Notamacropus eugenii: one gene and its partners. The protein of the gene in region 1 purifies or fractionates together with the protein of each later gene. This does not show direct contact. Links are inferred from orthologs where the notes say so. Each region holds a gene or a part of one and is shown in the gene's direction. Other genes may lie near its edges. The genes, in order: CAMKV, GPC1, TCOF1 and ACIN1.

Region 1 (7,455 bases):
ACCTGTCCGTGACCCAGAGTCACCTCCTCGACACAAGGGTCATGGGCAGGTCTCTTTGACTGAGGTCTCTTTGACTCTGAAATTCTAGACTCTAAATTTTAAGCCCAGATCTCTATACATCAGAATTATTCTGGCCTGGTAGGTGCCCCAACTTGTATTATAGTGGCAAAATGGTCCCCTGGTTTAGAATGAAATCTATCATGGTTTTTTCTTCCTGAGACAGAAAATGGAGCACCATCTGAATTCACTTTTCTTCCTGGACCCTTGAGAAACCCAGTCCATTGTTGGTTTGCTGCTTTTTATTTGCTGAACACTCTCCTCTCTGTCAATCCCACTGGCTGTAGCCCTGAGGCACTGTTCAACCCATTCCACAATAAAGCTTCCGAGGGGACCTTCATAACCCTTTCATATCCGTTGTTATTAATTATTGTTATTAATTACTATTTCCATTTTTAAAATGAGGAAACAGGCTCAGGTGGGTAGAAGCATTTATTAAGTGCTTACTGTTCGCAAGGTTTTGTACTAGGCTGTTGTTGGGTTTTTGTCCTTCATTCTCAAAGAGAACCATGACATCAGGAAGGTGACACCATAACTTACAAATGAATCGGATTGAAGTGAGGAAGGGCTGTGCAAAGACACCAGCCTCACATTAGGCACCAGTAACAAAACGATGAAAATGACACAGGTCTCATCCTCCTGTGCAGGGCATGATTAAATGGAGCACTAAGTAGCATGTGACAGAGCCAAAAGGAAACTCTTCACAAAGCACTCAGAGAATACCAGAGAGTGAGATGGTTAATAAATGACCAAAGTCCAGGTCTGTGCTTTTGGTTATATCTCAATATGGTGTGCTCTGTGCCCGGGAAGGCACATTGGAGATTAAGAATCAGTCAGGAGACAGCTAGGTGGTGCAGTGAGTAGAGCACTGGCCCTGGAGTCAGGAGGACCTGAGTTCAAATCTGGCCTCAGACACTTGACACTTACAAGCTGTATGACCTTGGACAAGTCATTTAACCCTGATTGCTTTGCCTCCCCACACCAAAAAATTAAAAAAAAAGAAAAGAAATCAGCCATTCAAACTGAAAAATGAGAAGGGAATAAGTATTTATTAAGCACCTACTATGTGCCAGCTACTGATTACTCTTACAAATATCATCTCACTGTAATGTTATTATCTCCATTTTATAGTTGAGTAAAGTGAAGCAGACAGGTATCCTGGGTCACACAGCTGGTAAATGTCTGAGGCTGGATTTGAACTCAGGTCTGTACTGATTCCAGGTCTGGCACTCTATCCACTTTATCAGCTGCTTCTGATGAATGAAACAATCCTTACCCTGAAGGAACTTGCATTTTCATGGAGGTGACAAGTACATATATAATTATATGTGGAATAAACATAGAGAGAATAAAGACAAATAAATAGAAGTTAGGTACAGTTTGGTTTGAGAAAGAATAACTGGGAGGATAAGAAGGGAGCACTGAAGCTGTATGTGAAGGAAGAGGAGAATTGTATCAGGTGGAAGTGGGGAGGGAGTGCATTCCAGGTGTGAAGAATGGCCAGTGCCAAAGCTGAAAGGCATGGGATGTAAGGCTGTGTGTGAGAAACAGAGAGAGAGAGAGATCAATCTGGCCACATAGTGGGTGGGGCAGGGGGGAAGAAGGGGAATGTCCAACGAGATTGGAAAGCTAGGTTGAGACCAGCTCATGGAGGTCTTTAAAAACCAAACAGAAGAATCCGATCTTGAACCTAAAGGTAATAGGGAGCCATCAGAGTTGACTGAGTAGGAGAATGACATAGTCAGACCTGCCCTTAAGGAGAACCACTTACTAAGTGGTATGGAGGATTAACAGGAAGAGGGGAGAGACTTGAAGCTAGGAAACCTGTTATATGTAGGAGTAAGGATTTGGGTTTCAAGGGTATCTGGCGGCTCTAGGAATAGAGATGTCAAGGTGGGGAAGACAAATTACAGAGGCTCTAAGCTTCCTTAACTCCTCTCCTCCCCTCCAGACAGAGGGGCCGTCTGACAAGCTATGGGGAAGAGTCTCTAGACCTTTTCTACTCTCCTGATGATGGATCAAGAGAGCTAAGATGCTCCCTCTTAGCCCCATTCAGAGTCAACTGGGCCTGTCCCCAGGAGATGGGGGCATACAAAGACTCAGGACCTTGCTTCTTCCTTTCTCTTGGGCAAGAGTACTAAGGAGACATTCCTTTAGTAACGGACAATTCATTGCTTACCTCAGAGTTGCTAGACATAGATTGAGACATCCTAGCAAGTCAGATGTGGAAGTGGGGAGAGAGAATAACTCCCACTTTAATGGAAGGAGAATGAGGCTTGTGTTGCTGACTCCCCTACCTACTTCTGATAGTCCTTCACTATTGCAAAGGTGATCAATATACTAATTGTGCTGAGGAAACTGCCCAGAGAGCCGTAGAATCTGTGTTCCATTGGGAACAGATTCTCCCCACGGGCCCTTTTACAGCAGTGCTAGAGGGAGTAATAGGAGCCTGAGCTCCCAGACATAATCCCTGGGCCCAATCCTGAGGGGGTGGCTAGACTTGAATGGGGCAAGGGTTTTGCCCCATTCCACCCAAATTAAAATTGGGGCAAGGTCTTCTAAGCTCTCTGTTGCAAAAATGTACTTCTAGCTTACTTGACTATTGCCATGTGTAAATTCATTTGTTCAACAAACTCTTCATTAAGTATTGACTATGTACATGTTCTCAAGGTAGGTCTTGGGCAGAGACACAGATATATTTTAGAGCTTATAGCTTAATAGGGAAGGTAAGACATGTAAACATAAATTAATACAACTTATCATGTGATAAGTATAAAGTATTATTCAATCAGATGATCTCAGTCATTTATTGGACGTATGTCTTATGTGAGGGGCAGTCATGTGCTGTGGATAGTTAGCTGGCCTTGGGGTCGGAAAGGCCTGGGTTCAAGCTCTACCTATTACACAGAATGACTGTGAAATTGTGGGCAAGTCACTTAACCTCTCAATGGCCCTGGCAGCTCTTGCAGAAAAGATACCCGTCTGTATTGGACAATGAAAGTCTTCACTGCAGTTTCCCTCTGTCAATGAAACTGTAGGTCAGGTAAAAAACATGTATTATGTATTTATATCCCATGCAACAATTCAAATATTTATCAAAGGCATGTTGTGTACAGAGACTGGGGAGAAATACAGACTTTAGAGAAGACTGTCTATGAAATGAACCTGGCATTTGCTCTCAGAGTGTAACCAGAGGACAGGTCTGACACACCGCAGGGCACTCTGTACAGAACCATGCACAAAGAGCTGTTTGAAAAGGTGACCTTGTCTTATTCAATAGATTTGTTCCTGAAAAAGTTGCATATAAATAAAATTTATGTAAATCAAATCCTATTTTAAACACTCCTTTAAAAAAGCCTGGGAGTGGCATCGTAGAAGCAGCTCTGACATCAGAGGACTGAGTTTGAATGTTGGCTCTGCTACCCGCCAGCGCCTCTCTGGGGCTCCGATTCCTCCCTTGTAAATGAGGGCATTGGACTAGATGATCTAAGGTCCCTTCCAGGCCTAAAGTCTGTGATCTAAATCCAGACGGAAACAAATCCTGCAAATTGAAGGCCCTGTGAAACAAACCCTTTCTAGAAGAGAAAAATCAAGCCCCAATTTCCTTTGTAAATCTAGATGAAAAATCTGCAGGCTGCTTAACTCAGGGCCCAAGGGGGCAGGTTTCTGGATGGCATTTGAGGCTCAGCTGATTTAGGCCTGGGTGGGCAGTGTGGTCAGAGGTGGGAAGGAATGGGCCCCAGCTAAGCAGGTGCTGGGCTGCAGGCAGGGTTCGGGGAAGGAGTCGAACTAGTCTCTGAGTCAAAAATACATTCAAGTCAGACTTCTGGGTTGGGAGTTACCAACTCCTATTTCTGGGTTCTGCCCAGCCTCAACCTGGCAGAGATAACACACTTCTCAGAATTAGCATGTTGCTCAGAGAAAAAGCATGCTATGGTCAGAAGTAGCCTTGGAGTCAGGAGCTGTGGGTTCAAATCCACACTCAGATGTGTATACACTTTGTCTTGTCCCTTGACTTTTCTGAGTATCTGGGTCCTCAGTTATAAAATGGAGATAATGATATTTACAAGACTTGCCTTATGGGACTGTTTTTTTGAGGAGACAACTCTGCAGAGCTTAAAATGCTTTGGAAATGGAGATTATAGTTATTATTAGAGAGCAAATGGAGGAACAGGCCTGACCCAGAGAGGGGAGAAGGAGGAGAAGAAGCAAGCAGAGTTCTGGGTTTGGGAGACATGGCGTTTTTGTCTGGACAACCATGAACTGGCAAAATGGAATTGGTGAAGGGATCTGTGGGATCACCCCTGCTTGAGCCTAAGGGAAGGTGCACTATGGGTAGGGAGGACCCCATTCTCAGGAAAACTATGCTTCTGTCCTTCCTGCAGACCGGGCCTGGCAATGCCGTTTGGCTGTGTGACTCTGGGAGAAAAGAAGGATTATAACCAGCCATCTGAGGTGACAGACAGATATGACTTGGGGCAGGTCATCAAAACGTGAGTGTTGGGCCCTGGAGAAAGGGAGCAGGGCATCTGGGAGGGGTAGGGTACCAGTAGGGAAAGAGGAGAAGTAGAAAAGAGGGATGTCATCTTGGTGGGGAGAGAGAGAGAGAGAGAGAGAGAGAGAGAGAGAGAGAGAGAGAGAGAGAGAGAAGGAGAGAGAGAGAGAGAAGGAGGGAGGGCGAGAGAGAGACAGAGAGAAAGAGAGAGAAGGAGAGAGAGAGGAGAGAGAGAGAGAGAAGGAGGGAGGGCGAGAGAGAGACAGAGAGAAAGAGAGAGAGAGAGAGAGAGAGAGAAGGAGGGAGGGCGAGAAAGAGACAGAGACAGAGAGAGAGAAAGACACAAAGAGAAAGAGAGAGAAGGAGAGCGAGATTGATTTGAAATCAGAGGGTCTGAGCTCTAACTCCTGCTCATGTGTATGACCTGGGACAAGTCACGCCATCCCTCTAGGCATCTTTTTCCTCACCTGGATAATGACATGGGTTGGACTAGATCTCTACGATCCTTCCAGTTCTAAAATCATTCGATCATATAATCGTGGGGAAGGGGGCGGGAGTGGGGGTGGGGGATGTACCCAGGCTAAAGAGGGCCCTGGGCTGCAGGGAAGAGTTCTGCGAGATTTTTCGGGCCAAGGACAAGGCGACAGGAAAGCTGCACACCTGTAAGAAGTTCCTAAAGCGAGACGGGCGGAAGGTGCGCAAAGCGGCCAAGAATGAGATCGTCATCCTGAAAATGTGAGTGCTCGGCACTGACCTCTCAGCCCGGCCCTGCAGGTCAGACACCCGGGGGTGGGGGTGGGGGTGGGGGTGAGGGTGGGGGTGCGGCTGGAGGTGCGGCTGGGGGTGAAAAAGAAGAAGAGGAAGGCAAGGGAAGGGAGAAAAAAACGGAGAAAGAACAGAGGCAAGGAGAAGAAAAGACATTGTGAGTGAGAAGGCATGAGAATGGAGGTGGTGTGTGGGCAGGAAGGAGAGCTTTTCCCTGGCTCCAGAGGGTCCTCAAGCCCAGGTCTGTGACCCCTTCACTCGCTCTGGATGGCTGGTCACTGCCCCTGGCACCTGGTGGTTTTTGGACCCTAGCCTCTCCTGTGCCTGCCTCCCCATCTCCCCTTCAGAAAGAAGAGCCCCAGACTAGCTCCCACCCCCAAAATCCATTGGAGAAAAACAGTTCAGGGCCTTTCCTGCCTCCTTCCTGTTGTGGAGAGATCTTATGTCCATATATGGATTGGATTGTGGCTTTGGAGGCCCTTTCCAAATCTGAGATTCTACAATTCCTCACTCCCATCTCTGGCCTTAGGGTGAAGCACCCCAACATCCTGCAGCTGGTGGACGTGTTTGTGACCCGCAAAGAATACTTCATTTTCTTGGAGCTGTGAGTAGGGAAGGAGGTAGAGTCTGGGGTTCCCAATTATCCACCCAACCTTAGCTTAGCCCTGAAATCTTCCTGTGCTCCATCCTTCCACAGCTAATGTCCTCCCCCCACCTCCTGCCCAAAGGCTGAGTTTCAGTGGTATGAGAGCTCCCTGGAAGACAAAGTAAAAAGCTATCCCTAGATTGGCAGTGCCCTAGAGAGAACCTCATCCTTCTGAATTCTTTACCATTTATACTCTGCCAGCTCCCCAAGAGGAGTTCCAAGATCCTGCCTTTCTCCTGGAGAATGGTTGGCAGGCTTTCTTTTCTGGCATCTGTGCCCCTTTCTCCAGCTCTCTCTAGGCTCCAACACATGTGGGAACTTCTCCAGGTTAGCCAGCCTCCAAGCTCATTAAGATCTATAGAATCTTGGGTCAAACTGGGAGCAGCCTAGCTAGGGAACACATATTCTAGCTCTGGCATCAAAGAAACGCCTCTAGCCACACACCCAAATACACAAAGTGTCCTCCCAGAGTCTCCAGTCCATCCCTGTCCCTTGGTCTACTATGTCCAACTGAGGAGGTATCTCAGGAAATATATGTGGGGGAAAGGGCTTAAGTTTCCTTGTCCCACAGGGCCACAGGGAGGGAAGTGTTTGACTGGATCTTAGACCAGGGATACTACTCAGAACGAGACACAAGCAACGTGGTGCGGCAAGTCCTGGAGGCTGTGGCCTACCTGCACTCCCTGAAGATTGTGCATCGAAACCTCAAGGTGTAGCCCTGGCCCAGGGTGGAGAAAGGGACTGGATGGGATGAGTGGCTCGGGGCTGGGGAGGGGAGTTGTAGGCAGTTCTCCCTTATCCAGGTTTCCAACATCTTCTCTATAAAATATCCAGGGAAATTTGTAATCTCTGGTTGACTCTCCCTTATACTGAGCCCTGCCATCAAGTAGTGGGTACCTGGGGGGACGTATGTGATTTAGCCTGAGCTGAAGTAATCAGGAAAGCTAATTACTGGGAGTGGTATGCATTTAGATAACAAATAAAAAGGATATTCAGAAAAATTAGTGAAACATGTTTGGGAATTATCCCTTAGTTTGGATTATGGAGGTTCCTCTCCATTTACATAAATAATTGAGAGCTGGCTCTATAAGGAAGTGGGATTGGGGATTTGAAGGCCCTAGAATAAAGGTTCTAGATCTGAAAGACCCCTAGATTTGGAGTCTGGGCACCTCAGTCCCAGCTCTGATCTTTCCTTCTTTTGTGACCTTCCATATCATACCCTCTCTGTACCTCAGTTTCCAACTCTGTAAAATGATGATGGGAGGGAGGAACTAGATAATTTCTAAATCTACCATTCTACTAAATTCAGGGCAGGAGGAAGGGAGGAAGGGAACTGTAGCTGGGGTGGAAGACAATGTCTCTGGCAAAGAGCATAGTGTTCCAGTGGTGCAGGAAGGGGTGGGTCTTGGGGGCACTAGGTAATTTCTCAAGAGGATCTCACAGGATCTTCTCCCACTTTTGTGTTCTGGTTGTAGTTGGAAAATCTGGTATA
Region 2 (7,946 bases), on another chromosome or scaffold:
TCAACAACTTTCCCATGTGTTTCCTCCTGTCCACTCATACAGCCCCTCATCACCTTTTGCCTGGACAATTGTAACAGCTTCCTATTTGGTTTCCCTGCCTCAAGTCCATCTCCTTCATAAATCATCCCCCACATAGCCACCAAAATGATTTATTTTCCTAAAATTCAGATTTAATCATGTCACTCTCATGTTCAGCAAACCTCAGTGGCTTCCTGTTGTCTCAAGGATCAAACATAAGCTCCTTTATTTGACACTTACATCTCTCACACAGAGGCCCCATCTCTAATCACTGTGCCTTTGTTGACTGTACCACCTACCTGGAATGCTCTCCCTCCTTACCTCTGACAGTTGAACTCCATATTTTCCCTCCAGACCTAAATCAAATGACATCATCTTCATGAAACCTTTCCTGTCCTCCGCATCTTAAAGCAGATTAAAGTAATTAAAAAGTACTGTCTTTATAGAGTAAGAGGAGGAAAATATAATTAAGAAAAAAACATTAGAGACAAATTGGAGAAAATTTTACTGCAAAGAAATTGGCCCAGAGAGGTTAAGCAACAATTCCCCCAAGCCCAAGCTTTGTTACTATCAATCCTCTCAATTATACAGCCTTGAGATCCCAGCATCCTCTTTGACTCCCTCACCCCCTACATTCAATCAGTTTCCAAGTCTTGTCAGTTCTGATTTGCAATGTTTCCCACATCCAGTCCGTACTTTCAACCATGGATAGCACCAACCTAGTTCAAGTTTTCAGGCAGCCTGCAAACTTGGTGACTTCCACATATATATTGATGTTTTCTCAAACACCCTAGCTTTCCAGTTCACCTGTCTCCAAAATTCTCAAAATTCCTTTCTTTGATCTCCATTGCCTCTCCTTCAATCTCTTCTTCTCCTTCATATCTCCAATACCAATTATTTATCCTCACCAAGACCTCCATCTGCTCTATCCACCCTTTTCTGTTCTCAGCAGTAAAAAGAGCAGGTTGGACTAGGTGAGCTCTGTCATTCCTACAACTTCTAGATCTGTGACCCTGGTAGGTTTCCATTTTATTTTCCAAGAAGGATGGTGCTCAAAGTTCAATTCAATTCAACAAATATTTAGCATGCACTGTATGCTGGGGCACTATGCTGGGATGGGCACTGGGGATACAAAGATAAAAATGAAACAATCCCTGCCCTCAAGAAGCTTACTTTCTATTTGATGAACATGGAATTGAGACCCAAGATAAACAAAGCTAGAGTAAGAAAATGCCAAGTTCCTTTGAATGAGTGGCTCAATGAACATTTATTAAGCACCTACTATGTGCCAGATACTGTGCTAAGCACTGGGGATACAAAAAGAATGAGATTTCTAAATAAAACTGTATACCAAGGTAGTGAAAGAACTTATAAAGGTACTTACATCAAGATTCTTGAAAAAAAATTGGAAGTGGGAGAAGTACCACAGGACAAATGTCTGTGTAAAATGTCATCTTACACTTTTGTAATTTTGAAAAACACAAAGTCTTACACTGGGGTCAAAAAACCAATAAGACAGCACAATATGGAAGATATGTTCAAACAAAACAGGGATGATTATAATAGCACCACCCTCCCAGGGTTGTGGTCAGGATTGAACAAGATAACATTTGTTAAGTGCTTGGCACATAGTAGATGCTTAATAAATATGTATTCCTTTCCCTTTGCCACTCTGACCTGGTCAGATGAGATCTGGGATATTATCCTGGGCACCACAATTTAGGAAGGGCACTGATAAATTGGCCAACCAGAACGGTAAAAGACCCAAAGATGATGCCATATGTGGAATGGAAAAAAGAACAGTTAGTGTTTAGCCGGAAGAAATGAAGATTCAGTCAAGTGATGCAAAAGATGGAGTAATATCTGTCTTCAATATGTGAAGGGCTGTCACCTAAAAGAGGTATAAAACGGCTATTTCTTGAATTGCATTAAATTCTAAATATCCTAAGCTGGGGATCATCGTCTCTGAATGAAAATAAAATGGAGAAGCATACTAGGGTCATAGATCTAGAATAGGTAGGGGTGCCAGGGGCCATCGAGTCGAACCCACTCATTCCCCTGCCAAGGAAATCGAAGCACAGAGAGATTAAGCATCAATTTACAAGCCCAGGCTTTGGTCCTATCAATCCTCTCAATTATACAGGCTCAAAACCTCAGGTTTCTTTATTTCTTCCCTGTCTTCTACCTTTTCCATATAGTTCCCAGAAGGAAGAACTTGGAGTTAATGTTGCAAAGATATAAGTTTAGGTTGATGTCAGAAAAATATTTCTTACAGAAATCTCCAAAAGTAGAATTATCTGTCTCCAGAGGTAGAGGGATTTCCCCTCTTTAGAAGTGGTCAAGTGAAGGCTGGACATTCTCTTTCCAGGTATTTTGGAATGAATCCATTTTTCAGGTGGGGCAAACAGGTTAAACAGCTTGCCATAGCTAGTAAGTATATGAGGCTGGATTTGAACTCATCTTCCTAACTTTAGGACAGTATTTTGTCAACTATGCCATATCACCTACAATAGCCCTTATGCTGAATGTCAATTTCTGAGACATCTTCAGAGGGATGCAAGGCACCTTAGGACGGTGACCTGCCCAGGTCAAAAAAGGTAAGTCAAAGATCACCTGCCAGTCAGTAGTGGGATCAGGCCCTTTTCTGCACTTTCAGACTGGGCAGGACAGGGAGGAGGAGTGGGAGGGAGGTCTCAAAGTCTTCCTTCTCTTAGGTTTCTCCCCAACATCCTTTACAGCATTCCCCTTTTGACTTAGTCAAGGAGCAGGTAGTGACTCCGATCCCTTTCCCCTAAAGACATGTAAATAGAGGAACAGTAGCGCAAGATCCATAGACCAACAAGTAAGCAGAATCACTGCGTCCGGGAAGTAGTGAGGCTTATAGGATCCTAGATCGAGAATTGGATGGGACCTCTGACATCATCTAGTCGAAATTCTTTTACAGAGGAGGAAAACGAGGCCCAGAGTAGTTAAGAAATCTGTCCAGGGTCACACAGTGACAGCACTGGGATTCTATCTCAGGTATTTTAAAGCCAAGTTTACCACCTTCCGAGGAGATCACACTTCATTGTAGGTAACACAGCAGGGAGTAACGGGTCCTAAGATGTTCCAAAGAAGCACGCCTCCTTTTCGGGATTTGTTGGGTAAGGGAAGGTATTCAGGAGTGACATCAGAGGCCAGAGATCAGATTCTCCAGGGGTGTGCTAAAGCACAAGGGTGCCTAGGGGATGGGGGAAGAGACAACTATCCAAAGAAAGTAACTTGCAGAACGTTTTCCGATCTGAATTGATGACAGAAGGAGAATCCTCATCCCGGAGGTCCCTACACTAATGAAATCACGGGTCCAGTGTTTCTCCTATATCCTGGTTATTTGTTGAGGTTCTTCTTCTCCCCTGGGGGATAGTGGAGCAGGGATAGGGGGTGGCGGAGGTCGAAAGCCTGCCCCTTTCCCTTTTCATGATGAAAGCCCAGAAGAGGAACAGGGGCGGCGGGAGTGGGGGGCAGGGATAGTCAGTCACACTTGAATTCTGATAGGGATGGGGGGAAGGGACAACAGAATTAAAGGAGGAAGGATGTCTGGGTGCAAGAGGGCAGGAGTATTGGAACGGAAGGAAATAAGAGAGTGTTGAAGGAAGAAAGCGAAGGGAGTATGGAAGACGGGAGGAAGGAATAAGGAGCAGAAATAAGGGTGTGTGGACCAAGGAGGAGAAGGGTGTGGATCCGTAGGCAGGAGAGAGCAGAAGAAAGGAGAGTGTGTGGCAATTGTAGAATGGAAAAGGGGAGAGGCGTACGTGAAGGACCGAAAGCAGGGATGGAGAGAAAGATGAAAGGGCTGCTGAACAGAGAAGAGAGTATGTATAGAGACAGGAAGATGCATGCACCTAGGTCAGAAGGCACAGGGCGTAAACCGAGGCAGAGGGGGAGAGCATGCTGAGAAGAGGGTGGTTTGCCTGAGGAGGAAAGAAGTGGGTGGAGGTGTGTAGACACAGAGTGGTGGATAGAAGACTAGAGGAAAGGGATGTGGACAGAGGAGAAGTGAAGGAGGGCACGTGGATGGAGGAGCCCGGGCGTAAGGAAAGATCAATGTCAGCTCTTAACTGGAGAGCCGACCTAGGAGGGAAGGGGGACGTGGGGGCGCCGGGTGGTGTTGCTGCTGACTTGGGCTGGGGGTGGGGGAAGCCTCTGATTGGTAGCCTGGGTGGTATGACGCCACGTCCGGCGGGGGAAGCCCTGCCTCAGCTTCAGAAAAAAAAAATCTCCCCTCCTTCGGCCCCCCCAACCCCGCTCTTTCCCTCACCCCCCTCACCCCCGCCCCCTTTTTGCAGGTAGTGCCGCCGCCCTGAGCCCAGAAGGAGAGCGCCAAGCTCCGGGCAGGAGGGAGCAGGCACTGCCCCCTCCCCGGGTCGGATTCGCTCGGCTCGGTGTCCCCCACCCCCACGGCCAGCCCCACGAGGGTGCAGTCCCAGGTTCTGGCCGCCACCCCCTCCTCAGGATCCTGATATCCGCCCCAGAGTCAGACAGTCCCGCGCTTCCCTTCGTGACTACTCTCCATCCCTTTCTCCAGCTCTCCATCCATCGGGCGCGTGTGCGCCCTGCACTGGGCACCCCCCGAGATCCCGCCCTCTCTCCCCCCCCCCCCCCCCCCCAATCCCCGGCAGCATCCTCGCCAGCCCGAGGTCGCCTCTCTGGGAGGGAGAGAGGAAAAGAGCGCCGCGGACGGAGGCGGACACCGAGTGGCCGGCGGGAGGGAGCGTGGGGCTCCCCGCATCCCCAGTCCGGCCCATCCGAGGCCCCGCCCGGCCTGGGCCCGCCCCGCCCCGCCCCCGCGCGCCGGCCTCGCCCCCGCCTCTCACCCCCCCATTCCTCCTCTCCCCTCCGCCGGGTGGGCCGGGCCGGGGGTGGGGCCGAAGGTGGGACGGAGCGCGAGCGCTTGGCGGCTGCCGCTGCTGAAGCTGCTCCCGCCGCCGCCGCCGCCGCCGCGGACCGTGCCTGACTCGAGCTGCGCCCGGGGAACTCGCCCCGGGCTTTTGTTGTCATCCTCCTCCTCCTCTCCTGCTGCCCCGCCGCCCTCCCCGCCCCGGCCACCTCCTCCAGGCAGTGAGCCCGGCGCCCCGGGACCTTGGCTCTGCCCTTCGCCCGCCGGACGGCGGCGGGGCGCAGCGAGGGACAGGCGTACCGGCGGACGGACGGGAGGGCGGCGGCCGGCCGGCCGGCCATGGATCTCCTCGTGCGGGGCTGCTGGCTCCTCTGGGTGGCCGCCGCCGCCTCGGCCCGCGGGGAGCCGGGGGGCAGCAAGAGCCGGAGCTGTGCCGAGGTCCGCCAGGTCTACGGGGCCAAAGGCTTCAGCCTGAGCGGCGTGCCCCAGGCGGAGATCTCCGGTGAGTGGGGCCATTCATTGCGGGAGGGCGCCAGCTGCCCCCACCCCCACCCCGGCCAAGGCGACCGGCCAAGGGGCATGGGGTGAGGGGGGACGGGGGCACGGGGAATGGGACTGAGTTCCCAGGGGCAGCACTCGCGGAGGCGGCCCGCTGCAGCTCTGGGGGAGGGGGGAGAGCCCTGGGGCACGCCTGCGATCGGAGCCTCGGGGCAGGTGGGCAGGGGACGGACCGGCTTTTCCAGCCATCGCCACCACCACCACCACCACCACCACCACCACCACCACCACCACCACCACCCCCACCACCCCCACCACCCATCCCCAGCCTCCTCCACTGCGGCCGCTTCGGAAAGTTCTCCCGGCTCATCTTAGCTCCCACCCGTACAAGCTCAGGGTTAAAGGGGGGGAAGAAAAGTGCATGGGAGCGGCAGAAAAGCCATTTGTCTTGGAGACAGAGAGACCGAACAAGTGAGTGGTCGGTCACCGGGGATTGTGGTCCCTGGGCCTCCCCCAGCCCGAGTGACCCTGGGACTGGCCTCTCCCAGGCTTCTCCCGGTGAACAGACGGGCCAGATCCTCTCGGAGCTGCAGCAGTCGCCGCCACCCCGGGCCAGGGCCAGTTCCTGGACAAGTTGGCTCTCAGGCCGCCCAGGGGATGGGGCTCTTGGAGGCGGGCAGCAACAACGCGGAGAAAAGGGATCCTGGAGAAGAGAGTAGGGGGCGAGAGGGAGGCAAGGTTACCGCTAGAAGGGCTTTCTCCTGCCTTGGATTTGGGATGGAAACAGCGTGTTTAGTGATGGAGATTCAGTGAGGAAGTAGACCCCCATTGGAGGAGGTGTCTGGCTTCTGTCCCAAGAGATAGAGATGATTGGGGGCGGGGAGGGGTGCCGGGGATGGATAAAGGATTTCCATTTTTTTGTTGTTTTTGTTGCGTTTCAGTTTGTTTTTTGTTTGTTTGTTTGTTTTTTCACCAAGCTAGAGATTTTAAACGGCAAAAAGAGACTTGGTGAAATTCTGTTCTGTGTTTGCAGATGAGTTTTTATTGTGGATCAGAGAGCAGAAAGGAGTGCCCCTTCCCATGCTGTGGGCAGCCAGGGGGGTGCTTGTCCCAGGGAAGTCTTTCTCCTAACCTCATGGCTCACAGCTGAGAGCCATCTGCCCAGTTCCTACATTCTGGGAGAGAGAAAGAGATGGCTGGAGGCCGCTGACGAAGAGTCAGGCAGAGCCACCCACCCCCAGGGAGCAGCCTTGGCTAACTGCAGCCGGAGAAGCCCTTTGGATTTCTCTCAGCAACTGTCACTTCTTTATAAGGAACCGTCCCTCAGTCATCCACAGGCATCTGGCAGCACTCCCTGCCCTCTCCTGCTCAAGCAGAAGGTGAATCCCTAACCTGGGGACAAGAGAGAGAGGTGCTGGCCTTCCCAGGAGACCGTTGGGGTTGATGGGAGAATGATACCTGTTGAAAGCAAGATGTCTATGTTTGCAAAGGACTTGCTAAAACCAGGTTTCTCCAAAGGGTGTTGGTGCAGGTGTCTGTCCTTGGTTGGGGGAAGGGGATTCAGGAGGAGGTGTTAGACTATTACAGGATTACCACCTGTGTGGTAGAAACACACTTAAGACTTAGCTTACCTGGGCCTGGGTTTCCTCCTCAGTAAAATCAACTGGATGGCCTTTGAAGTTCTATCTCTGACGGTCTTTTGAGTCTGTAAAAATAGCCTTAGAGTGACAAAGAATCATAGGAATTCCAAGTCAGAAGTGAACCTTTAATCCAACCCTATCTCAAGCCTCCTGTTCCTCCTCTCTAAAATGAGAGGGTGAGCTGAGGCCGCTTTCAATTCTACATCTAGGATCTTCTGGAGTGGGACAGGCTGTAGCAGGCCCCCTGCAAGCCTTCTTCCTCTCTTGGATCCATCCCAGGGATACTGACAGGAAGGTGGAGTTGGACCACTCATTGACCTTTGCCAGTTGGGGGCCTGGCTTGCAGTTTCAGGTATAGGGGCCAGCAAAGGACCAGGGGAAACTGGATTCCTATGGAAGCTGTTGGGTCACCCTCCAAGTATGGAATGAGACTGAAAACCCATATTAAAGCAATCTTCCTAATGAAAGCATCACTAAATCTTTATGAAGTACCTACTATGTGCCAAAGTGAGAAACTTATAAAAACAAAAATGTAACACTCTCTGCTTTTAAGGAGATGCAGTTGCTGGGGTGTTGTGCTTTTAAAGGATATTCCTGGTTTGTTTGTTGTTTTTTTTTCTTTTTTTTTCTGACTGAAAAAAGAGAAGGTCTGTTCTTAAGTGGGTGATTGACCTTTGAACTCATTTATTCATTGGGTGTGCAGAACTCCTGCCAGATACCTCCTTCTGCTGAGAGCAGTGAGATTATGGGAGAGAAGCTTTAAAAAAAAATGGGAAGCTTCTGGCCAGTAAGGACTCAGTTTCACTGTGATACTTTATAGTCTGAAACCTTTTAATGATAGGTTCCAAGCTGGAATATCCAGGCTTTTCTTTGGCTCCTACTCTGCTTGAGACACCAAGGGGTGGAGAATCGCT
Region 3 (7,548 bases), about 370 Mb from region 1:
CATGACATCAGAGAAATGATGACATGATTTGCACGTGTCACTTTGTTGGGGTACAGGCTCTGGGGAACCCCTTTGAACTCTTCTTGAATCTTCTCACTTGATCTTGAGTTCCTCTGAGGCCATAAGGCTTTTGTTCTTGCTTTGACCAATTGCCTCCAGCTGATTCCCATCCTCCATACCATCAAAATCCCATTCTCTTGCTTCTGATCCTTAGTCACCCCAGTCCCATCAAGATCCTTCTTAGACTCCTCCTCAAGACCCTCCCTAGACCCTTCCTCCCAGACTACTAGACCACCCCTGGATCTCTCCCACAATCTTTCTGTATATAAGACCCATCCCATTTCCATGAAGGTGCTCAGATTCAATCTAGCTCAGACTTAGTCTGTGTCAGATTGTTCTGGCCTGCTTATCAAAACAAGCGTCACAAATGCTCATATTCCTTAGGAGTCTACCCAATATGGTAAACCTTTAATAAACTTTGTTTTTCTCTTTGGCTGAAACTAGACTTGGGTCAAATATATTTGATCAGGACCTGGCATGTTGGTATTTTGGGGTTCCCAGAATCTCAAAACCCTTTGGGGTTTCACTTCAGTATTCAGTCGACACAACTGAAATGACTGAACAAGAACAACAAAAATGGCAAAGCCCATCTGTACATGTGAAGGACTGAAGGATTTGATACTTGGAGTATTGACTTCCTGTTCACAAATATTGGAAGGGAAGGAGTTGAAGCAGCTTGAGCTCAGAGGACATTAAGAGGTTTATACATTGATGTAATCTGAGTTAACTATTTTGGGCTGGCCAGACACATGAAATACTAGTTGCCCTTCTTTGTAAACTGTGGTCCTATGGAAAGGATGACTCTCACATTTAGGAAAAGATCATAGATTCAGAGCCAAAAGGGATCTAAAAAGTCACCGTTTCCAACCCCTTCCCTTTGCAAATGAAGACTGAATAAAATGATTTGCCCAAAGTCATACAGATTTCATATAGAAGAATCAGCATGCAAATCCAGGTCCTCTGGCTCCACATACAATGCTCTCTCCAAATCACGTGGAATTGGCCAGGTTGAGGTGCTGAGAAAGCAAGGCTTAGGAAGAGAGTTCAAGCATCACAGCTAAACCTAAATCCTAAATCCTAAATCTTTGCAACGTATCAAAATGTCTTATTCCTCTACTGAAGCACCATTAAACTCAAATAGAATGGGGTAGGGGTGGGGTGCTAATCTATGCATACAAATTCTTATGGGTTTCATGTTTTTGTTGCTATTTTTCAGTCATATCTGACTTTCCATGACTCTGTTTGGGATTTGCTTGGCAAAGAGACTGGAGTGGTTTGCCATTTCCTTCTCCAGCTCATTTTACAGATGAGGAAACTGAGGCAAACAAGATTAAGTGACTTGCCCAGGGTCACACAGCTGGTAAGTGTCTGAGGCTGTGTTTGAATTCATGAAGATGGGTTTTCCTAATCCCAGGCCCAGCACTCCGTCCATTGTGCCACCAAGCTGCCCATAATGGGAGAGACTACATGAAGATAAATAGATAAATGTAAGATTCATACAGAGAAGATGAAATATAATCTGAGAAGAAAATTCTACCAGATGACGAGATGGAAAAGGCCTCCTGGAGAAGGTAAGATGAATTGAATCTTGAAAGAAGCCAGAGAAATTAAGAATTAGAGAGGAGAGGAGAAAGCAGTCTAGACACTGGGGACCATGGGTGCAAAGACAAGAAGATGGGAGACAGAGAAACAGCAAACAATCCAGTGTGGCTGGAGCCCAGAACATGTGGAAAGGAGTACATGCAGAAGGAAACTGGACAGGTTATGAAGAGTTTTAAATGCAACTGCCAATTTTATATTTAACCCAATGACTCCCTATAGCTTCCAGGATGAAACACAAAATGCTCTGTCTGGCACTCAAAATCCTTCATAACATTGCCTCCTCCTAATGATGGGGTGATGGCACCTGGGCCCCTAAAAGGAAAAGACAGTGTCTCTGAATGCAACCTAATCCCTGAATTTTCCTCACACATTTCAGCAGTCCAGATCACTGGCATCTTGCCCAAGCCATCTGGTCCAGTCCAGCTCACCTAGATGATTGACAGTCCTTTCACAGTCCCTCTTGGCCCACCCCAGACTTCTTTATACCTTTCACCATCCACCAGGGCCACCCCAGGCTATTTACTACTCCTTAATCCTATCCACATCTTTTCACTGTCCCTTTTTTGTATATGAGTATCAGTCTCACCCCCATTAAATTACAGATATACTAGGAATCTCACTGGCCATTACTGGCATTTCAATAGACTGCCCCTTGACTGGAATAAGGTTTGAGTCTATGAATTCATTCCAGGAAGACTCTGCCTTGCACCCTGACATTTCAGGGTTTCCAGTAACCTCAAACCACATCATTACCTTTCTAGTCTCCTCCCTCTCACACAGCACATACTCTTCAATCCAGCAACATTGACCCCAATTGCTCTACAAAAGACATTCCATCTCTTTTCTGATCTTTTTCTCTTACTGCCCCTCATCCTTAGAGTGTTCTACCATGTCAACTCCACCTATTGACTTACTAGCTTCCTTTAAGTCCCAAATAAAATTCCATCTTCTCCAGGAAACCTTAGTACAATTTGAAGCTTTAATAAGCTTACAAAAATTATTTTATATTGGTTATCAAAATATATTTTTTTAAAAGTTTAGGATCCAAGTTTAAGAGCCCTTGCTCTATTCCATGATGTCTGTGTGTGCATTGATTTAGCACTAATCCTTTCCAGATATGACATTCAAAGTTCAAACATATCTGATAGGACACTAATGATGCACCCCTAAAAGGCCCTTGGACTTTCCCACATGGCTCAGGTCCCTTCAGCTCATCTGAGGCTCTTCTCAGCATAATCCTTTTAACTGCCCTTTCATTGTGGCCCTCATTGTCTGCACCCTAGACCCCCACTCCTTGATTCCATCTAGACCCGCTCCTTGACTACTGTGTAAAAAGTCCATCTTGCCTCTATTAAAGTGTTCAGATTCCTTAAGAATCTGGCCCGCTTGCATTAAGATATTGAAAGACTCAGATTCTTAAAATCTTGCCAATCCCAACCAGTGTTCTAATTAATTTTGTCTCTGGCTGAAAGAAAGCTTCAGAGGAATTCATTAGAGGTAGGCCCCTGTTATTTGCCCTTGAATTTCTGGGTCCCAGCACTCCTAGACATCAACAATACCCATCATTTGTTTCCTGGATGAGTGGGAATAAGGCATGAGGAGGGTCCTTCCATTTCCCCTCTTCACCTCAAATAGAAATCCCCATTCTCTATTTAAAAAATAAATTTTATTAGTATGTTTTGTTTTTACATTGTCTGCATCTCTCAATGTATCCCTACAGTCCTTATAACAGAATAAAAAAGGGAAGAAAACATGTCAGCACTGTCTGCCCTAACACATATCTGGATCAAATGTAACAAAATTATAAAAAGATCCAGCAGGATTCAGAATGAAGACAGAAGAGAGGACACTCCCCAACCTACCCCTTCATGAAGGTGAGAGGTCTGCAGGTTTTAAAATGTTACACTTATTTTCAGACTTTACAATGTATCGATAAGTTGGAGGTTATAGACTGTACAAGTCCCCACCCACCTAGCACAAAGCCAACATAATTACCATATAGTAACTGTTTCTCTTTTACGCAGGAACCCTGAGGGTCTTCCCTCCCAGTCTGATTTTTTTTTTTTTTATTAAAGCCTCCATCCTTTGAGTAACTACTTAAAGAAGCCTATTGATTGAATGGGTGCATCTCACTCAAAGTGAGAATGTGATAAGACCTTAGCCTGAAAGGGCCAGGTTCTCACACTGCATCCTAGGCCATCTCCAGCTGTCCTGAAGAATATCAGCTCACTGGACCCAGATAGCTCCAGAGGAGAAAGTGAGGCTGGTGACTGCACAGCCCTCCCTCACTCAAATGAAAGTCAACTGCAAGTCATGTCATCATCTTGATGTCATGGTCCTCTTGGAGAACGAAGGAGAAACACAACAACCTGTACAGGTTTTTTCTCAAAAAAAAAAATTCCATTTGTTGTTATAGGAGGATAGCTCTCTGGGAGGGAGGATACTTGGGACAATTATGATCATGCAAAAAAAAAAAGATAGCAATAAAAGCTTATTTTCAATTAATCAATACACTTTACTAAGCACCTAGTATAAGTGCCAATCAATCAATAATCAATAATCACTAAGCGACTTCTAAGTGCCTGTCACTATGCTATAAAGGTGGGGATAGACAAAGAGGCAAAAGGCAGTGCGTGCCCTCAAGGAGCTTGTAGTCTGTTTATCAGGAAAAGTCTGACGTTCTGTCCCGAGCGCCATGGCCAACAGTCCCCGGAGAACCGCCCCCATTTCTCCCCAGCCGGGTGGAGCGCTCTGAGCCTCAACCCAGGGCCCCAGAGAAACTACATTTCCCAGCACAACCCAAGGCCAGGATAAGACTCTCGGGAAGTCGGAAGTAGTAGAGTGAGGTCTAAGGGCGGAGGGGCGGAGACGAGGGGGAAAAGTTGTGCGCGCGAGCCTGCCGGAGCCGATTTGCAGCAAACCTTCGGTCCTCGTGCGTCCGGGCCCGACAGCACCCGCCGCTGTCCAGCCTCGCAGACATGGCCGAAGCCCGAAAGCGGAGGGAGCTGCTGCCGCTCATCCACCACCACCTGGTGCAGGCTGGCTACGTGAGGGCGGCGCGGGAGGTGAAGCTGCAGAGCGGCCAGGTGAGGAGGAGGCAGGGAGGGAGGAGGGAGGGAAGGGACCCTCGTGGCCACCTGTCTAGTCCCCGATCGGATCGCTGCCGAGCCCGGCAGAGCTTCCAGGACAGGCTTGGGAGAAGGGGGCAGCTTGGCAGCATCCCCGGGGTTCGCCTGTCACACCAGACAGCCCAGAATCGTGATGCCCTCATGTCTTGAAGTCCCCCTTACTGGGTTCATCCTGCACGGCTTGTGGCCTCAGCCCTTGGAGAAATACTTGATAGCATGTTTTCAGTTACTGTGGAATGACTTGCTAAGCAGAAGATGGCAGAGGGATAACCGGAAAGGAGGGACAGTGTGGATGGCCAGGGTGAAGAGGAACAGGAAAAGCCTATTGAAGAACTGGCTGGTAATTGCCCTGTAACTCTGCTCGGCATGTATGGGATAAGCCCCAATCTGAACCCTGTCATTACAGCAGCTGATAGCGGTGTCCGAGCCCTGCGTGTGCACGAGGGGAAGACAGGAAGCGTGTATCCACTAGAGATGTCAGGAAAGGTTGGCCATGTTTCCTGGAACTGACACGTGCTGCTAGATCACTAGCAGATCTTGGGAGGGAGACGCTGAGAAGGTTCTGTTCCTACATGGCTGTCTGGCTCTCTTTGCTAGGAAGGCAGATCTCTGGGTAGTTCTTGTTCTTCCTTTGGGCCTCCTCCTAACTTTACCTACTGAGTTGCAGCGTGGCAAAGTGAAAAATGCCCTGGATTGAGGGCTAGACACACCCGGCACTGCTCCATACTTAGTGTATGACTGGATCAGTTACTTAACTTGTTTGAAACTCTGTTTTCTCACTTGTAAAATAGAAAGGATTAGATTAGATTAATTACCTCCCAGGGCCCTTCTCTGAATGCGGAAGAGTGTGGCAAGGGAAGGATGTTCTCTGGTGACATTCTTTCCAAAATACGCATTGCAATGGTCTTGGGTTTTACCCAGTGGAGTCCTGGGGTTTAATTATGGTCTAGGGTAAATTGCTTACAAGTGATAAGACTTCCTCTGCCTTGGGCTGTCTTCTCATATGTAAAAGGAAGGTTTACATTGAAAAGACCCCGTAGTTAACTAAGGGCTCTGGTTCCTTTGTACTTCCTTATTCCCGCTCAGTTTTCCAAAACTGTTTCTTTCTGATTGTTTTAGCCAGAAAGGACCTTGGTAGAGACTTCCTAGTCTCATCCTAGAGAATAAAAATCTGAGCTCCAGACAAAGAGAGCAGATGGGGAACTAGAAGCCAGGTCTCTTCACAAGACACTTTACAGGCTAACTGTCTTATTTAATCTTTGAAACAACCCTGTAAGGTAGGTATTACAGATTTTAGTCCCATTTCACAGATGCGGAAATCAAGGTTCATAGAAGTTGTGACTTGCCCATGATCCCCCAACTGTCAGACATGGAACTGAACCCAATTCTTCCTTACTCTTAGGTCCATCATGCTACCTACCACTCCATGCTGTCAGGATCCCTTATTAGCATTGGACTTCATCCTGAATTTCATTCCTTGGAGAGAACTTTCCAGTTAGCCCATACCCCTTACCTTCTCTGCCCATCTCCTTAGGATCTTTCCTTCCCTGCCCCAGTTATTTTGTATCAAAAAAAAAAAAAAGTGAAACTGGGAAGGGAAGACCCTCAGGGTTCCTGGGTAAAAGAGAAACAGTTACTATTTAATATTTGTATCTCTCTCCCTCTCCCTCCCCCTCAAAATCCCCTGAACCTAGGGAAATACATGCTGCATAATAGTTGCTTAATCCTTACTGAAGAAGTATGCCCATGTACCTTCTGTTCCTTCAGGGTACTTACTTGAACTACTGCTCTGTTTGAATGGGATGCTTGTTCTGGAGGTCTGACATACCCTTAGCCTTCTTCTTTTTATCCTCTTTTATCTGTTAATTTTTTATTCTGCTATCAAAGTGACCTCTTGAACTCATCCTCCATCCCATTCAATAAACTCCAGGGGCTCCCTATGGCATCCAGGATTAAATATAAAATAGGCTGATTGCTACCTGAAGCCCTTCACGACCTGGCCCTGTCTGACCTTTACAGTCTTCTTACGCCTTACACTACATCCCATATCCTGTATCCCAGGGACACAGGCCTCCTCCCTGTTCTTCTCACCAGACATTCCATCTCCCAGTCATCTGCATTTTCTTTACCTGTCTCCTGTGCCTGGAATACCCCAGCCTCTTTATCCCAACTTGTTGACTTTTCTGGGTTACTTCATGCCTCAGCTAAAACCCTTACCTCCAGTGCACAGTAATGTTAGTGCTTTCGCCCAGTGGATTGTCTCCGGTGTGCGCCGCATATAACTCGTTTGTACATAGTTGTTTGCCTGTCGCACTCCCCCCACCATTACTTGCTTTTTTCCTGTCTTTATCACTTAGCATATAGTAGGCACTTAATAAATTACGCTTGCTATTGTTACCCATCCTTTAAAGCCCACTTCTTTTTTTTTAAAATCAAATTTATTATTTTTAACATTCTTTTCTTTTTAAATTTCAGGTTCCAAATTCTCTCCCTCTCTCCGACCCCTCCCCCACCTAATGAGAAGGCAAGCAAAATGATATCAATTATAATTGTGAAATCATGCAAAACATATTTCCATGTGAGCCATATCACACAAAAAAACAAAGTGATAAACTCTACTTCATTTTAGACTCAAGAGTTCATCAATTCTGTCTCTCTGGAAGTGGACAGCATTTTTTTCATAATGAGTCCTTCGGAATTGTCTTGGATCTTTTGTATTGATCAGAGTAGCCAAGCCTTTCATGGTTAATCATCATTA
Region 4 (7,069 bases), on another chromosome or scaffold:
CCTTCCCACTCTCCCTAAGAATCTAAATTTCTCAAGGGTTGAGACTTGTGAATTTTTTTTATCTATTTCCAAATGCTTAGAAAAATCCCTGGCAAACATTAGGTTCTTAGTATCTTTCCTGATGTGGGTTTGAACTCCTTTTTTGAGCACTTCGTCATAGGTTCTGGATCAACCTGCAGCCTTGAGGCCACAGGTTCCCCACCCCCGACCAAGAGTAACAAGAATGCTTTTCCTCTGTCACAAACCGATGGGGAGGAAAAAAAAACCTGACACTGGGTCACAGTTCAGAATTTCATTCAAGTGGAGAAAAAAAAAAGATGAAATCTTCAGTCACAAAAACTTTACAGAAGTGGGAGGAACCACCAAGAAGATAAAGATGGATTATACCTAGGATTCCAAGCTTCTGCTTGGCCTTGGCTATGCTCCCCTTTACCAGGGCTCTAGTTCAATTCTATATTAGGTCCTAGAGGGGAAAAAAGTAGAGATCATTTAGACTAACAAGAGCATCCTTTTATTCTGGTACAAGCACCTGTAGGCCAATTGAGGGCAAAGACCTTTTGTTTTGTCTCTGTATTCCCAGCACCTATTATTTCTTGAATTACAAAAATAAACTTTCCATCCCATAGGACGGGACATTTGCTATCATAAACTTGGTAGAACTAAGTTATGAAATAAGAATTCTTGCTACTGGCTCCAAAAATACTATGAAACTTTGATAAAAACCAGGGCTCTTAGGCTTGGCAAATAATCATCTGTACTCTAGCCCTCCATCTGACTGACCCATTGATACCCTAACACTTAGCTTACAAACCACACCAGAGCAGGGTCCAGGAGATCATTGCTCCAGATTTAGCTAACTCTTTGAACTGATACCCTGTTGATATCTTATTGCCTGGAGCTTGCTCCCATAGCAAGAGCGTTTCACTTACTCCCCAACCCTTCATCCTCTCCAATGGACCAACTCTAGGGAGATCTGGGTTTCTCATATTTCAATTCTTTTGAGAGACAGCTTGCAAAGGAAGTCAGCAGAGTCATAGGAATTTTAGGGTTATGTGGAAGAAGCAAAATAATAACCAATGACTTGGATTAGTTTTGTTTTTAAAACCTATAGTGATCTATAGGCTATAAGTCCAATAACAATAACTCTGAAAACAGACCTGGATGTCATCCCCAGACATTTCCTTCTCATCTGGGCACTCCCACTTCCGAAGCTATCAACTCAACTCCATCAGTCGTATTGTCTTTTATGATGCTGACTCCTCTTAGTCCTTACCAGCTGTAGCAGCTACCGCTTGATAAAACTTTGCCACAAAGTCTGGCTCACTAGCCTCCAGCTGTCTGACAAACTCGTTGCGCTCCTCCTCAGCCCAGCTTCGGAACCACTGATCCCAGAGTCGAAGCTGGCAATCAAAGATGCGTGGTGGTTGGTCTGCTCCAGAAACGCTAAGCTGTTCCAATCCCTCTAGGAGGGGCTGCAATTTGCCTGGCACTGCTTTAGCTACCAAGTCCTGTAGGAAACACTCACGCTGGGGATCTGACCAGCTGGCAAACCAATGTAGGACACACTTCATCTCCTGTGAAGTGAAGTAAGACATGGAAAGGAAGGAATAATTGTCTGAAGTAGAGGCTAATGTGGAGGAAGAGGATGGGGATATCCAAGAGGCAGCTGACTTCATCGACATCCTAAGGATAAAACAAACGAGTTTTACAATGGATAAAATCAAGATCTCCCTGAGATCAATGGCTGAACAGTTGACACATGGCTCTTGGCACAAAACTCAGCTATTCAAGTACATAAAAAAAATTATTTTTCCCACTTTTCTATATTTTGGAAGATAAATAGCAACCCTTTCTATTCTGTCTTCCCCAAACAACAGTACTACATTGAGACAGTTTGCTTAAAATAATTTTATTCCAAATCTACCAACCTTACTCCTCACCTCTTCAAATGCAGAGCTTCCCTTTGGGATCTAATCCTTGTAATAATCACCAAAATAACCAATATCTCTCATTCTTCCTCTTTCTACCTAAGCCTTCCAAAGCTGGGCAAAGGCAAGAAATATATTGGTCTAACTTGTCTCCTCTAAAATGAATATACATTTAACAACAGAATTCTTTTGTATAACAAATATAGCTGCACAAGGCTTTGAGCGCTTTGGACACTGAATAAGGAATAATGTTGAAAGTCATCACTAAATTTAATGTTGAAAAGAGTCTTTCTTAAACTACAAACAGTAACTGATGCTTCATGCGGGACCCACCATCTAATTAGTTCACTGTGAAGCACTTGTTTCATTTTACAACTAAAAAATTTTTAAAACAGAGATATAAGGGACTCACCCAAAGTCATGCAAGAGAGTAGCAGGAAAGTTAAGTCTTGTGTTCTTTGTCAAAAGTTCAGGACAAACAGTATGGTTGGTTTGGTGGGCCAAGCATCTGGAAAGATGTAATGGATACTTATATTTTTACTCATTATATATTACTCATTTCTCATTTTATTTTTATGTTCATTACTCATTATATACTTACTTCATACATATATATACACACATACATAAATATATATATTACTCATTTTACTCATTGTACCCATCTCCTGTTACTCCTGTCACGTTACCGACAAATACCTGAGCTGTTGATTTTATGCTGGTGGTGTGAGGCTATATCCACTTTTACCTAAGTTATTTTAAATCCCTTAAATATGAAAATATGAAACTGCTATCCATCCAGGTAGGCTACAGTTTTTTCCGAGCAATTCAACAGTCATAGTGTCCCTCTTAGATACTGTTTCTTCTCCTGACAAATGTAAAAGACATGTAGCAACTGCAGTCAATGAATGGAAAAAGCAAGCCCTGGCTAAATTAGCACCAGCAGAGCTAGCAGCAGCAGCAGCAGCAGCTACAGTCTTACTACTCTGTCTAGGGAGGATCCCCAGGGACAGGGAAGCAGGGCAGAATGCAAACTTAGCTCTAGGAAGGAAGACTGCTACAATGTTGCCACAGGTGTCTTCCTAAGGTTGACATTGAAGTACAGGATCGCTACCTCGGGAGTTCAGGAAAACCCACTTGTCTGGATCATCCGAATTGCCTAGTTCTAAATCCTGGTCACAATGCACAGAACGGGGGGAGGGGGGGTCTCCGCTCCTTTTAGCATGCAGGTTAATAGTGCAATCTGTGGGCATTAAATATTGGAAAGCCAATCTGCCCTTCAGACCAGATGTGGAGGGAAGGCTGGACACGGGATGGGGTGGGGTTGAGGGGGTGAGCGAGGAACTTCGGATCTCTGAAGTCTGGGCCCCAAAGTTCCCACACGGCACCCCCGGTAGCCTCCTCACTAGATCCAGAGCCGATGGGAGTGAGGGTGGGGCCGGTGCTCGGATAAAAGGTAAGCTGGACCGAGGGAGGCGGAGGGGCCTCCGCCTAGCTTACCTCCTTATTGTCACCCCGGGGGACCCCAGAAGGAAGTCACAGGAGTCCGTGGGTTCCGGCTACCTCTACACCTCCATGTTCCCAGCAAACCCCACTGGGCAACCCACGCACTTCCGGACCTCGGACAAGGCCCCGAACTCCCCCAGGCGCCTCGGCACCAGTAAGCCGGACCTTATTTCCAGAGCCGTGGGTCCGGAGAAAGCCGAATGCCTCCGAATCCGGTTCTGCCAGGGCAGAGGGTTTACGAGTGCAATCTAGTTCTGGGCTCGGTGGGACGGAGACGTCCGAGCTCCGAAAGGAGAGCGCGGGGGGCGGAGCTTACGGAGAGAATGGAAACTGCGGATTGGTGCTAAGGTGGGAACGGAAATACCCGAGCGCTCTCGAGAAGGCTGAGCGTTCGGATCCGAGGACGGGGAGGGGGAAGGGTTGGCCGTGGCGGTGGGCGGGGTCGGGTCGGCACGTTCGAAGGGCGTTGGCGGAAATTACCGAAGATGCCCGAAGCCGTCGAGACGGGAGCCGAGTACCTCACACAAGATGGCGGAGCTGGAGGAGGTGACTCTGGACGGGAAGCCGCTTCAGGCGCTGCGAGTGACCGACCTGAAGGCCGCACTGGAACAGCGAGGCCTGGCCAAGAGTGGACAGAAGAGTGCCCTGGTCAAGCGGCTCAAAGGGGTAAGCAGACTGCGTCGCAGGGGCGTCGGAGGGGAGCGGACCCGGTAGAGACGAGCCGCCGCCGCGGCGCAGGCGCAGTCCCCGGGCTCGCGCGAGCTCGCTCAGGCCGCCGCGCGAGCCTCGGGATCCGCGCGCGCGGTGGTTGGCGGGGCTCGCGCCGGAGGGAGCCCGTGCCGGTTCCCGCCTTTAACGGCAGCGGCGCGAGCCCGAAACGGGAGGGTGCGCGCCGCTCTCCCCAGAGTGTCCTGCGCTTCCTCCTCCCCCACCCCCGCCTTGTTTGTGTCTGCGGTCTCGGCGCATGCGCGGCAGCAGGAGTTAAATCCCACCACCACCGGGGTTACCGACCCGTGGGAAGGCGGGGGGGGCCCGAGTGGGAGGCGTCCTTGGGCGGGGTGACAGTTGGGCCGGGTCAGGCGGCGGGGGCAGAGGGGGCTGGCCCTGGTGAGGCCGGCCCTGAAGGGGTTAATCCTCCCGGCAGCCCGAGTGGAGACAGTGAAGTTGGGGCTGGGGGGGGGGGGGGCATTTGTGGGGGGGTCCGTTGGAGGAGAGCCTTGCCCCCCGTGGAGGAAGCCCAGCCCCTTGGGGGTCCGAGAGACCTTGGATGTGCTGGACTGGAGTGGGTGTGTTGGGAAGTGGCCGTCAGGGAGGGGTCGCCGTTAGGCCCCTGATCGATGAGGGGATCGGGGCCGGGATAGGCAGGGCGGCCCTGGCCCGGCCGGGCTCAGGTGGGCGGGTGCTGGACTGACGGCCAGCCAGGCCGGCTTGCGCTTGGGCATATCACCCCCTTAGAAAGCACCTGCTCTTGAATTCAGTCCTGTCCCACGTGGTCCTGATCTCAGAGAACTTAGGATCCATATGTGATCTGTCAGCTGTTTCTCAGAGGGGTCGGTTCTGTCCAAGAAGAGCCCTTAGGTATTCATCGGGGGCTCTTGGATTGAATGGGACTGCATGGCCAGGTTGGAGAGTAACCGCCTGAGGAGCCCTGAGGGCAGAGGAACTGAGGATCCTGACAGCTGGATCTGCCACTGACTTGGTTCTTTCTGACAGGAGCCAACCGTCTTTAGTTTATGTAGTTTTGAGTTTTTGCGTCTCTGTATGGAGGGCAGTAGGCATGGCTACCTTTAGGGTTCTTCTGAAACTGTGTGAGAACAGTATTAGTAAAGGACTTGGAAGTCCTTGAACAAGAAGTGTAATTTGAGCGTATATGGTTAGTTTTTCACTTGATAAGGGGGATGGAAGGGAGAAGGTTGGATTTTTTGTGTGTTTCTGAGTTTCTTCTGTCTTTGTCCCAGGCTCTAATGCTGGAGAATTTACAGAAACACTCAACACCTCACACTGCATTCCAGCCAAACTCCCAGGTAAGAAAAAAGTTTCATTTAATAATGGTGGGCTGTTGATATGAATGTGGACACACCAATGCCTGAAACTTGTATTATGTACCAAAATCTTTCCCAGTTTACGTAATTCTGAAATGTCCCTGTATCAAAGTTATGGGATTCCATTTCAGTCGTTTACAAAATCCTAAGGAAAAGTTATCACATGGCTTTCTGAGACTCATGTATGTGTTTAACCGAGCTGTGTTAGGAGGAACACCTCACCTCCATTGGGTTCAGAAGGTCAGATCACTTATTTTCCACAGATGAGAAAATAAAATTTGTCCTGATGACACCAGATGTAAATTTGAAATGACCACCGTTAGAATAGTTTGGCCAAACACCTGTTTAAGACTGGCAAGATGAAAAACTGACAGATTTATAAATGGTAGCCAGAACAAGATCACCCACTAACTTCTCCCCCTTAATAAGAGCCTTGTAAATCACTTAGATTTGAAGAAGTAAGTTTTAATCCTTTTCCTTTTAGATATAACTAATTGTGACACTGGCCTTCTGGGTGTTCCAGGAATAAGACACTCCATCCTCCAGCTCCAGGCATTCATTCTTTCTGGCTGTCACCCATGCCTGGAACACTTTCCCTCCTCCCCTCCAACTGTCAACCTCTTTGGCTTCCTTTAAGTCCCAGCTAAAACCTCACCTACAAGAAGCTTTCCCCAACCCCTCTTAATTCCAGTGCCTTCCCCTTTTTAATATCCCCTATTTATCTTGTATATAACTTGTTCTGTATATATTTGTTTGCACGTTGCCTCCTCTAGTAGATCCTTGAGGGTAGGTACCGTCTTTTGCCTCTTTTTGTATCCCCAGCTCTTAACCACAATCCTTGGCACATAGTAGGAGTTTGATATTGTTTGATTGGTAACGTGACTTTGGACAAGTCACCGAAGCTATCTGGGTCTCCAGTTTTTTAACTTGTAAATTGAGGGGAACTGTATTTAAATTATCTGTATAGTTCCTTTCAACTCTGATAAGTCTCTGATTCTGTAGCAAAACATTAAAGGACAAACACATCCAGGCTTCTCTTATTTTGAACATTGACAGTTTTGCTATTAGATTAGGTCCCAGGATACTAGGGAAAAACAAGCTCCACAGAGGCCCCACCTTTTCCCTTGTTATCTCCTCATTAAGCCAGACAGTTCCTTAATCCTGCCAGCTCATAAAGCTTTAGTCCAGGTACTTTAACAAACCCAAGAAACTGGCCCAAGCTAAGCCATGCTCAGTGTTGTAGTGTTTCTAACCTAGCACTTCTGTTCTTACAAACATGGGCTTAAATTCTTTATAAACCTTCTGATCTGAAGTCTCTACCTGAGATCGAGGCCTTGTGAAATATTAAGCCTTATAAGAACAGGCTTGAAAACACAGTAGTAAAAGCACATACTTGGTTTTTTGTTTTGTTTCTTTACTGAAGTCATTATTTTTTACTCTAAAAAAAGGTTCTTACAAGGTAGTAGAGGAGCAAAGGAGTGTGAGGACAAGCATGGTCTTTAAGGGCTCTAGAGAGATTGTTAGATTTCTTGTCAGTAATTTTCCCATGACCCAAAAAAACCTGAATTATAAGTCTTCTTACCATATAGATGG

What was found.
Region 2: the proteins of CAMKV (region 1) and GPC1 purify together in Homo sapiens (affinity purification with mass spectrometry; 3 studies listed by BioGRID and IntAct, counting the BioPlex papers as one, with this or other methods). This does not show direct contact. The link is inferred for Notamacropus eugenii from reciprocal best matches to the Homo sapiens genes CAMKV and GPC1.
Region 3: the proteins of CAMKV (region 1) and TCOF1 purify together in Homo sapiens (affinity purification with mass spectrometry; 3 studies listed by BioGRID and IntAct, counting the BioPlex papers as one, with this or other methods). This does not show direct contact. The link is inferred for Notamacropus eugenii from reciprocal best matches to the Homo sapiens genes CAMKV and TCOF1.
Region 4: the proteins of CAMKV (region 1) and ACIN1 purify together in Homo sapiens (affinity purification with mass spectrometry; 3 studies listed by BioGRID and IntAct, counting the BioPlex papers as one, with this or other methods). This does not show direct contact. The link is inferred for Notamacropus eugenii from reciprocal best matches to the Homo sapiens genes CAMKV and ACIN1.

The regions. Positions count from the first base shown.
Region 1 is NC_092872.1:5,862,204-5,869,658, forward strand, and holds the start of CAMKV (caM kinase-like vesicle-associated protein), read left to right. Parts: upstream 1-4,387; 5' UTR 4,388-4,455; coding exon 4,456-4,550; intron 4,551-5,155; coding exon 5,156-5,287; intron 5,288-5,846; coding exon 5,847-5,921; intron 5,922-6,534; coding exon 6,535-6,673; intron 6,674-7,438; coding exon 7,439-7,455. UniProt on the Homo sapiens protein: Does not appear to have detectable kinase activity.
Region 2 is NC_092873.1:53,653,799-53,661,744, forward strand, and holds the start of GPC1 (glypican-1), read left to right. Parts: upstream 1-4,926; 5' UTR 4,927-5,233; coding exon 5,234-5,396; intron 5,397-7,946. UniProt on the Homo sapiens protein: Cell surface proteoglycan that bears heparan sulfate. Binds, via the heparan sulfate side chains, alpha-4 (V) collagen and participates in Schwann cell myelination.
Region 3 is NC_092872.1:378,240,425-378,247,972, forward strand, and holds the start of TCOF1 (treacle protein), read left to right. Parts: upstream 1-4,508; 5' UTR 4,509-4,640; coding exon 4,641-4,748; intron 4,749-7,548.
Region 4 is NC_092878.1:10,067,073-10,074,141, forward strand, and holds the start of ACIN1 (apoptotic chromatin condensation inducer in the nucleus), read left to right. Parts: upstream 1-3,942; 5' UTR 3,943-3,962; coding exon 3,963-4,100; intron 4,101-5,392; coding exon 5,393-5,458; intron 5,459-7,069. Other genes in the region: C7H14orf119 (uncharacterized protein C14orf119 homolog), read right to left, coding at 1,263-1,682.